Rattus norvegicus: one gene and its partner. The protein of the gene in region 2 purifies or fractionates together with the protein of the main gene of each other region. This does not show direct contact. Links are inferred from orthologs where the notes say so. Each region holds a gene or a part of one and is shown on either strand. Other genes may lie near its edges. The genes, in order: Kat14 and Zzz3.

The links.
Region 1: the proteins of Zzz3 (region 2) and Kat14 purify together in Homo sapiens (affinity purification with mass spectrometry; 4 studies listed by BioGRID and IntAct, with this or other methods). This does not show direct contact. The link is inferred for Rattus norvegicus from reciprocal best matches to the Homo sapiens genes ZZZ3 and KAT14.

Annotation. Positions count from the first base shown.
Region 1 is NC_086021.1:152,193,227-152,197,564, forward strand, and holds the start of Kat14 (cysteine-rich protein 2-binding protein), read left to right. Parts: upstream 1-1,333; 5' UTR 1,334-1,592; coding exon 1,593-1,851; exon of another isoform or gene 1,852-1,947; intron 1,948-3,588; exon of another isoform or gene 3,589-3,990; coding exon 3,991-4,109; intron 4,110-4,338. Other genes in the region: protein PET117 homolog, mitochondrial, read left to right, coding at 1,183-1,329. UniProt on the Homo sapiens protein: Component of the ATAC complex, a complex with histone acetyltransferase activity on histones H3 and H4. May function as a scaffold for the ATAC complex to promote ATAC complex stability. Has also weak histone acetyltransferase activity toward histone H4.
Region 2 is NC_086020.1:244,042,864-244,046,676, reverse strand, and holds part of Zzz3 (ZZ-type zinc finger-containing protein 3), read right to left. Parts: intron 3,632-3,813; coding exon 3,530-3,631; intron 2,791-3,529; coding exon 2,695-2,790; intron 527-2,694; coding exon 374-526; intron 1-373.

The DNA of each region.
Region 1 (4,338 bases), on a different chromosome or scaffold from region 2:
GGGAAGCAGAGGTAGTCAGATCTCAGTGAGTTTGAGGCCAGCCTGGTCTACATAATGAGTTCTAGGACAGTCAAGATTACATAGAAAGATGCAGATGCTGACTCTGAAAAGAAAAATGAACTGGAGAGATGGCACTGGTTGCTTTTGTAGAGGAACTGGGTTTCAGTCCAGAGCTATCTGTAGCTGCAGTGCCATGGTATAGGTCACTCTCTTCTGGCCTCAACACTGTACCTGCATAACTTGTAGCCACAACACCCATGCAGATAAAATAAAATTTAAAAAAAAATAATAAAAATATTCTTTTTTTTTTCCTTTTTTCTTTTTTTTTCGGAGCTGGGGACCGAACCCAGGGCCTTGCACTTGATAGGCAAGCGCTCTACCACTGAGCTAAATCCCCAACCCAAAAATATTCTTATGAGGGATTGGGGATTAGCTCAGTGGTAGAGCGCTTGCCTAGCAAGCACAAGGCCCTGGGTTCGGTCCCCAGCTCCGAAAAAAAAAAATTCTTATGAAGTGTCTGTTTCAAATATGCCCCTCTGAGCTACAAAGTATAGAGTATTTGCAGTAGTGACGGAGCAGACCTTTTAAATTCACATTAGGCACCAGGTTCACATTCCGAGATTCTGCGTCTAGTGTTTTTCAAGGTAATGACCCCTGAGGAACTTATCATTTAATGGTAATAGTCCTTTTTCTTTCTTTCTAATCTAATTGATTGAGAATTTTATATTTCTGCCTTTACATGATAAAGTCCTGTATTTTCTCACACCCTTACTGTTCTTTTTCTTGGTATTTATTGTTTGTCTTAGGTAACTGCTTATAGTTTACAGTTTTTCTGTACTGATTCATCAGATTTTAAAAGTATCACTTTCCAATTAAATTTATAAAATTCAGCATAGTGCAGCCTTTTAAATTAATTTTTTAAAATCAATTCCCTTTAAATTTTCTGTGTTCAGGGATTTCTTAAAATGTGATGAGAAGCCACTTAAGTATTAACATAACACATTACCAGATTTACTTGGTGGTTTCTTTATTTACATTGTACAGAAGGTTAAAATAGTAATTGGGTATTTAGAATTGGAACATTTCGAGTGTATTTTGGTGGCACTGTTATTTAGATTTGAAGGCACAGGATGGGAGCCACCTGTTCAGGGGGTAACTAAAATCTGCTTCTTGTGTTTTTAGAGGCTTCGTGACGGAGTGATCAGAGACATTGAGAGGCAGAATCAGAAAAAAGAAAACATTCGTCTTTTGGGAGAACAGATTATTTTGACTAAGCAACTTGAAGCAGAAAGAGAGAAGATGTTGGAGAAAGGATCTCAAAATACCTGACTTTGAGAAGCCGATGGGGCAGCGCTGAGTTGGTGTGTGTAACTGTGGGTGCGGTGTGTGGTAGAGAATAGCTAGTGAGAGCTGCCCCCAAAATCACTATCCAGTTACACTTCATTAACTGAAGGACAGTGGTCCTGTCTTCTGAATTGCTTCTTTTAAGAGTCTGTCGTGTGTGGAGAGAGTACTTGGGGGCAAATGCTCTTCTGAAGGTCTGTCTGGGGGATCCCTGCAACAGTGCCTGTCAGCTTAGGAGTGCAGGGGCGATGGATAGTAGCATCCACCTGAGTGGGCTCCTAAGTCGGCATGATGATGAAGCCACGAGAACGTCTACCTCGGAAGGGCTGGAGGAAGGTGAGGTGGAGGGAGAGACTCTCCTAATTGTGGAATCAGAGGATCAGGCATCAGTGGACTTATCTCACGACCAGAGTGGGGATTCCCTCAACAGCGATGAAGGAGATATATCATGGATGGAGGAGCAGCTGTCTTACTTCTGTGACAAGTGCCAAAAGTGGATCCCAGCCAGTAAGGAGCTTCTCGATTCCTTTGCTTGGTTGATCCCTATGTGATGGCTTGTTTCCAGTCTGTGAAAAACACTAATAAAATAGACTTGAATAAAAATATAATTATTATATTTATTATTAGTAGTCTAGTTTACCAAATGTAAATTTATTCCAGACCACTTTTTTAGTTCTTTAAAACAGTCATTCATTTTATATGTATGTGTGTGTGCCCGAGTGTATGTCACCATGTGCATGCAGTGCCTGCAAATGTCAAAGAGACATCAGATCCTGAAACTGCAGTTACATATGGTCCTGAGCCACTGTGGCCACCAGGTATTGAGCCTGTATCCTCTGCAAGCAAATTAAGTTCTCTTACTTGCTGAGCCATCTCTCCAGGCCCATAAAACCACATTTGTATTAATAAGAACTGTCTACCATTATCCCATTGTTAACATTCTGGATGGTAGCCCCCCACCCCCCAAAAAAAATTAGGAATCCTGTATTAAGTCATTGGCCATATTTTTCTAAGAAGATTATGCTGTGGGTTGGGGGACACATTCTGGTGTCAGTATAGAATTCAGGTTCTGTGAGTTATTTGACATTCGTGGAGTACTGCTGTTGTCTCCTGAGGGAAGGTTGGGATCAGCAGTCCAGTGGTGTTTGGTTGCTGCCTTTAGCCCAGGTTTGTTTTCTACCGTGGAACTCGTTCATCCTGGCAGGAGTCACAGCGCACAGATCTCGAGGTTCCAGCTGCCAGCTCCGTACGTAGCATGCCTCGCCAGGCCCTCTCGACTCTTAAACAGTGTTCTCCATTAGGCAAGAGATGAGCAAAGGCATGTGCCCTGGAGGGTTGCTTTGTACAAGAGTTCATAGCTAGTGTAACTCTTAATGAAGTTGGTCATTTTCTGGTATGTTGAAACTTTTATTAAAAATGAATTAAATTGTTCAAATAGCTACTGTAAATAGGTTAATAATAGCAGTGGTTAGAGAACAGACCTAGAATTGACTGTTTAGCTGGTGTTTGTTTCTCAGCTGTCTAGTAAAAACTGGTTTTCCCATCGTCCTCACCGGACAGATTTTTTTTTTTTTTTTCGGAGCTTGGAACCGAACCCAGGGCCTTGTGCTTGCTAGGCAAGCGCTCTACCACTGAGCTAAATCCCCAACCCCAGATTTTTTTTTTTTTTTCTTTTTCTTTTTTTCGGAGCTGGGGACCGAACCCAGGGCCTTGTGCTTCCTAGGCAAGCGCTCTACCACTGAGCTAAATCCCCAACCCCCCAACCCCAGATTTTTAAGGGGACTTTTATGGTTGGGCCCTACTAAGGTTTTTAGGGAGATAGGGTGGACTTTTCATTCTTTACAACTCTTTGATTCCTAGGATTTTGTACCTTTTTGTTTTCTCCCTGGAATATGCACCTGGGTGGCTCCCTTGCACATCTGTCCCTCAGGCAGCCCTTTCTTCTAGCTAGTGGCTGTTCCCCCTGGGCCCAGTAGACCTCTATTCCTTCCTAAATGGGGTTGAGCATCCCTTTCTCTGTCCTTACTCTGCCCTGGGATGCAAGGTACATTCTGCTCTGGAGGTTTTCATGTTGCACAATGCATCAGCATCACCTGGGAGCTTCAATGCAGAGCCCAGCCCCCACCCCAGAGACTGGAGCATTCCATAAGGGGGTGGACCTGACCTTAGGAAGGACATAAAGCCCAGCCACCTGGGTGGTTCCGATGCTCCACGGAAATCTACAACCAGTACAGTCCTGTTTACCTGTGTTCTTTGTGTGGGTCCTATCTGCCTTAGACATTGCATATCCAGTTCGAGCCTGGTGTGGCTGGCGGCACCAGCTGAGTATTCCCTGAAAGAATGAAGATGACTGGCCTAGAGGAGTCAGGAATGTGACTGCTGGGAGATCCAGCTAGAGCAACCATACCTGCTTTTCCAGGACCTTCCCCCTAACAGCTAAGGAGCCTTAGGTCTGGGAGAGGCAGGCACCTGGCTGCAGAAGGGGAAACAACCTTTTTCTCTTTCTCTCCTCCACTACTCTCCTGATGGCTGCAGAAGAAGAAAGATCTACCACGGGAAACTCGGAGAGCTAGTCGGTTAACTGAGCTGTTGGATCTCCACGGCACGAGGCAAATCCGTGATGTGACTTTTTGTTTTTTCTCCTAGGTCAGCTGAGGGAACAGCTCAGTTACCTTAAGGGCGATAACTTTTTCAGGTTTACTTGTGCCGATTGCTCGGCAGACGGCAAGGAGCAGTCCGAGAGGCTGAAGCTGACATGGCAGCAAGTGAGTACAGAGCTCTTCTCTGGGCACGTCAGGCCGGGTGGCCATCCAGAGTGAGGCGCTTTAGAGCGGTTTGCGGGGAGGGCGCTTTACAGTTCACAGTGGACATGCGCACACAATGTGTGGACGGAAGACTTCGCGGTTTTAAAACAAGGCTGCTAATTTAGTGAGTTCTCGAGACTCTTAGTCAATTTCATTTATGTCCTACCAAGCTTACACTCAACTGAAAACT
Region 2 (3,813 bases):
CCCTGAGCGAGTATGTGTACACACATCCTACTGGGGCAAGCAAATATTCCACTACAGGAAAAGTTACCTTCTCAGAAACCTCAATTTAGTGTCTGGAACTCCCTCCAAATTAAGCTGAAGTGGACCTGGGTGGGATGATGTGTAAACCAAATACTGCCCAGTGACAATTACAGAAGCTCAGAGACAGAATACAGGTTCACTGGGCTACTCTTCTTACACCTATGCTGAATCTTCAAAAAAAAACCAAACAAACAAACAAAAAAAAAAAACTAAAAGCATATTAACTCTTAAAGGGGACATGTCAGCAGGGATAATCAGAAAATCATTTATTTCCTATTGTACAGTCAGCTGTATAAAACAGGGAGTAACTTACTGAGGCCTCCTCGACAGCAGTGCTCATGTGGCTATGGGGACAGGACCGCTCATCATCTTCATCCATGTACACTGGTGGCTCATGTGAAGTCATGAAAGTGGAGGGTTTAAAGAGGTGCTTATTAAGGGGGTGCTGTCGCCTGCTCGTTGAGGACTACAGGAGAAAACAATTGTTTTAGTGAGAGAGTGAGAAATCATTAATAGAATCAAAACCATACACACCCTACCAGTTACAGTACTCAATGCTGGCTGCACAGACTCTTATGATCAACTTACACAGAAAATCAAAGAAGATAAAATGATTGAAGCCAGTCAAATAACTACTCAGAGAGAGAGAGAGAGAGAGAGAGAGAGAGAGAGAGAGGTTTCCACACTATCTGAGTCTATAAAACAATCACCTAGCACTGAGCGACCACGTGCTTTATGGCATTATCACTTCATCCTTGTGACATTCCTCCAAAGCAAAGCAGCCATCACCGTTCACTGGGAGACAGACAAGCATGGGCAGGAGGAGGGGAGCTTCATAGTGAGGCAGTGGTAGAAGTGGATTAGAGCTATGTGGTGGCACAGCTCTCATACCAGCGGCTAATGCAGATACCACTCATGCCAGTACATACCACGGACACGAACAGAACCACTGGACAGATCTCACCATGGCCCAGAGCCATTATGAGTGTGGTATTCTAGACCTTAACAGCCACAATGTCTACTAACTTACAAGAGACTACACACACAATGGACCAAATTTAGACTTTGCTAGTACTATTCCTTTTTGGTCTTTATTAACTCTTGGTTGTAATAATGCAAGGTGTAAAACAACACATTAATACAATTAATTTAGAAAAATTATTAAGGGGTTGAGGATATAGCTCAATAGCCAAACATTTGCTCAGCATCAATTAAGTCCTGGGTTCGAACCACAGCACAGAAAAAAGAGGGAAGAGAGAAAGGAGAAGAGGGAGGGGCCCTGAAGACGAGGATGAAGTAAGAACCATGACAGGTGTAAGCTGACAGGCTGAACTGTCACGAGCCTGTGTACGAGGTTCCTGTAATCCAAGGCTGTAAAGTCTCTATAGTTCATTGGTACATAAAACACAAACTTAAAACACCAGGCAGTGGTGGTCCACACCTTTAATCCCTGCACAAGAGAGTGTGAGGATAGCCTGGTGTATAGAATGAGTTCCAGGAAAGCCACACAGAAAAAAACCTGTCTTGAAAAACTGGAGAAAAAAAACAAACAAAACAGAAAACCAAAATCAATGCCACAGGCCTCTGTTGAACCACCACTCACATACACATGCCCACATAGACATAATTCAAACAATAAAATAAATCTTTAAAAAAAATTCTAAGACGTGAACTATTTAAACAATCTTCTTAATGTAGAATTCTATAAACTAGCATTACCGAGTAACATTTGAAAGTGGTGTAAGGAAGGAGATGTCATAAGGACTTATCATGTTGGTGACTTCCTGTGGACCCTTTACCTTGAATGCTAAAGGCCCTCATTTCCTCCCTAGAACTTTGAAGCAATGGGGGAGGGGGCAAAAGGCTGCCTGGCACTAGTTATGAAACCAGCAGCACACTAGCACTCAGCCACAATCCTAGTACTTGCTTCCCAGCAGAGGCAGGAGGACCACCACAAATCCTGACCCACACAGCGAGTTCTAGGCCAACTACACAGTGAGATTCTGTCTCTAAAATCAATGGTTCTCAGCTTAGTAGTTTACAATTTACGTATGTTATTATGGCCTACTGTGCCTTTCTATTAAAAAGGTTTGAGAACACTGTGTGCTTCTGACATAACAGCCACCTGTCAGTATTCTCACTGTGAAGTGGCAGGGAGAGAACACTACTTACAACTGCACTGAGGGCTCAACATCTCAGTAACATTTCCAGTCTGCGCAACAGAGCACAGAGAAATCAGGCCTACATTTGAAGGCTAACATCACTAAGACATTCCCAACACAGAATCATAGTATAAAAAGGCTTGGAGTAGTACTCATTCATAATTACTCCCAAGAAAACAATGAAGAACTCTTTTTTTTTTTTTTTTTTTTTTGGAGCTGGGGACCGAACCCAGGGCCTAGCACTCGCTAGGCAAGCGCTCTACCACTGAGCCAAATCCCCAACCCCTCAATGAAGAACTCTTAAAACTCAGTGTATTCTTCTAAGCAGCAACAATGGAGTCTTAGTCTGCATTTATACTCTACACAGCGAAATGTCAAAATGAAGAGGAGCGCACTTCATTGACACACACCCACACAGCAGTTCCGAACCCAGAGATCCTCCCTGAGGTTTGCTCCTGTCTATACTCCTTACCTTCCTGGAGTATATATATAAGTTAGGTGTTCTGCCTGGAACTGGTATGCCGGCTTTAGTTAGCTTTATGAAATACTTCTGTACACGACTGGCAACCTAAAGAAACATGACAGCTCTTTCAACATAATGAAATAATGTGATATTTGAGAAGTTTTAAGTGCTAACAACTAAATCAAGAAGTAAACTTTTAAATTGTCATCAAAGACATTTATAAGTAAAAACCTAGACAAAACCAATTCAAGTAATAAGTTTTTTTGATTCCAAAGCTAAACAATCATTCCACTGGTGAGCACTGAGGAGCACATATGCGGCCCTCTCTGTCAGTGACACAGATAGACGGGCTGATGAAGGACACTACAGCGGCCCTCTCTGTCAGTGACACAGATAGACGGGCATGATGAAGGACACTACAGTGTCCATTCTCAGAAAGACAATCAGGGATGGTATTAATGAGATGCCTCAAAATCCAACAGCACAGTCTAACAAAGAGGACTGTCAGCACATTCACTAAGCACTCAGGAGATGCAAGGTCCAATGCATGCATGAGCATACATACACACACACACACACACACACACACACACACACACACACAAAGGTACATACATATGTATACATACACATACATATATTAAATGTTTTACATTGACACAAAGAAGTGTTATTTATGCTATTTCTGCTATCAACTTTCTGCTTTCTTATCAAAAATAGCAGTACTAATCAATTTAAAACTACCGTACACCAAAGCTAGCAATGGTTATCAGTTGTGCTGGTGTGGCTGCAGAACTGCCCACCGGAAACCATCTGCCACTCAGTCTGCAGCAATCCCCATCACCTGTTTGGCTGTCCGGTTGCCCAGTTCATCAGCAATCTTCTGCCACCGCCGAGATTCTACTTCTTCAGGAGGGTACTTCAGGAGTAGCTGTTCAAGTTTTTTCTGTACCAAACCCAAAACCAAATTTTAAGGGAATAAAGGATTCCATTTAAGATCCTGGAGTTCTGACTAGATACATTCACGGTTCACTCAGAGCACAGCAGGTGCTTTCCAATCTGGACGTCATATCACATTAGTAGAGATTCTCAGGTAGAAAACAGTCCACTTAGGAACGTAAGATGCCA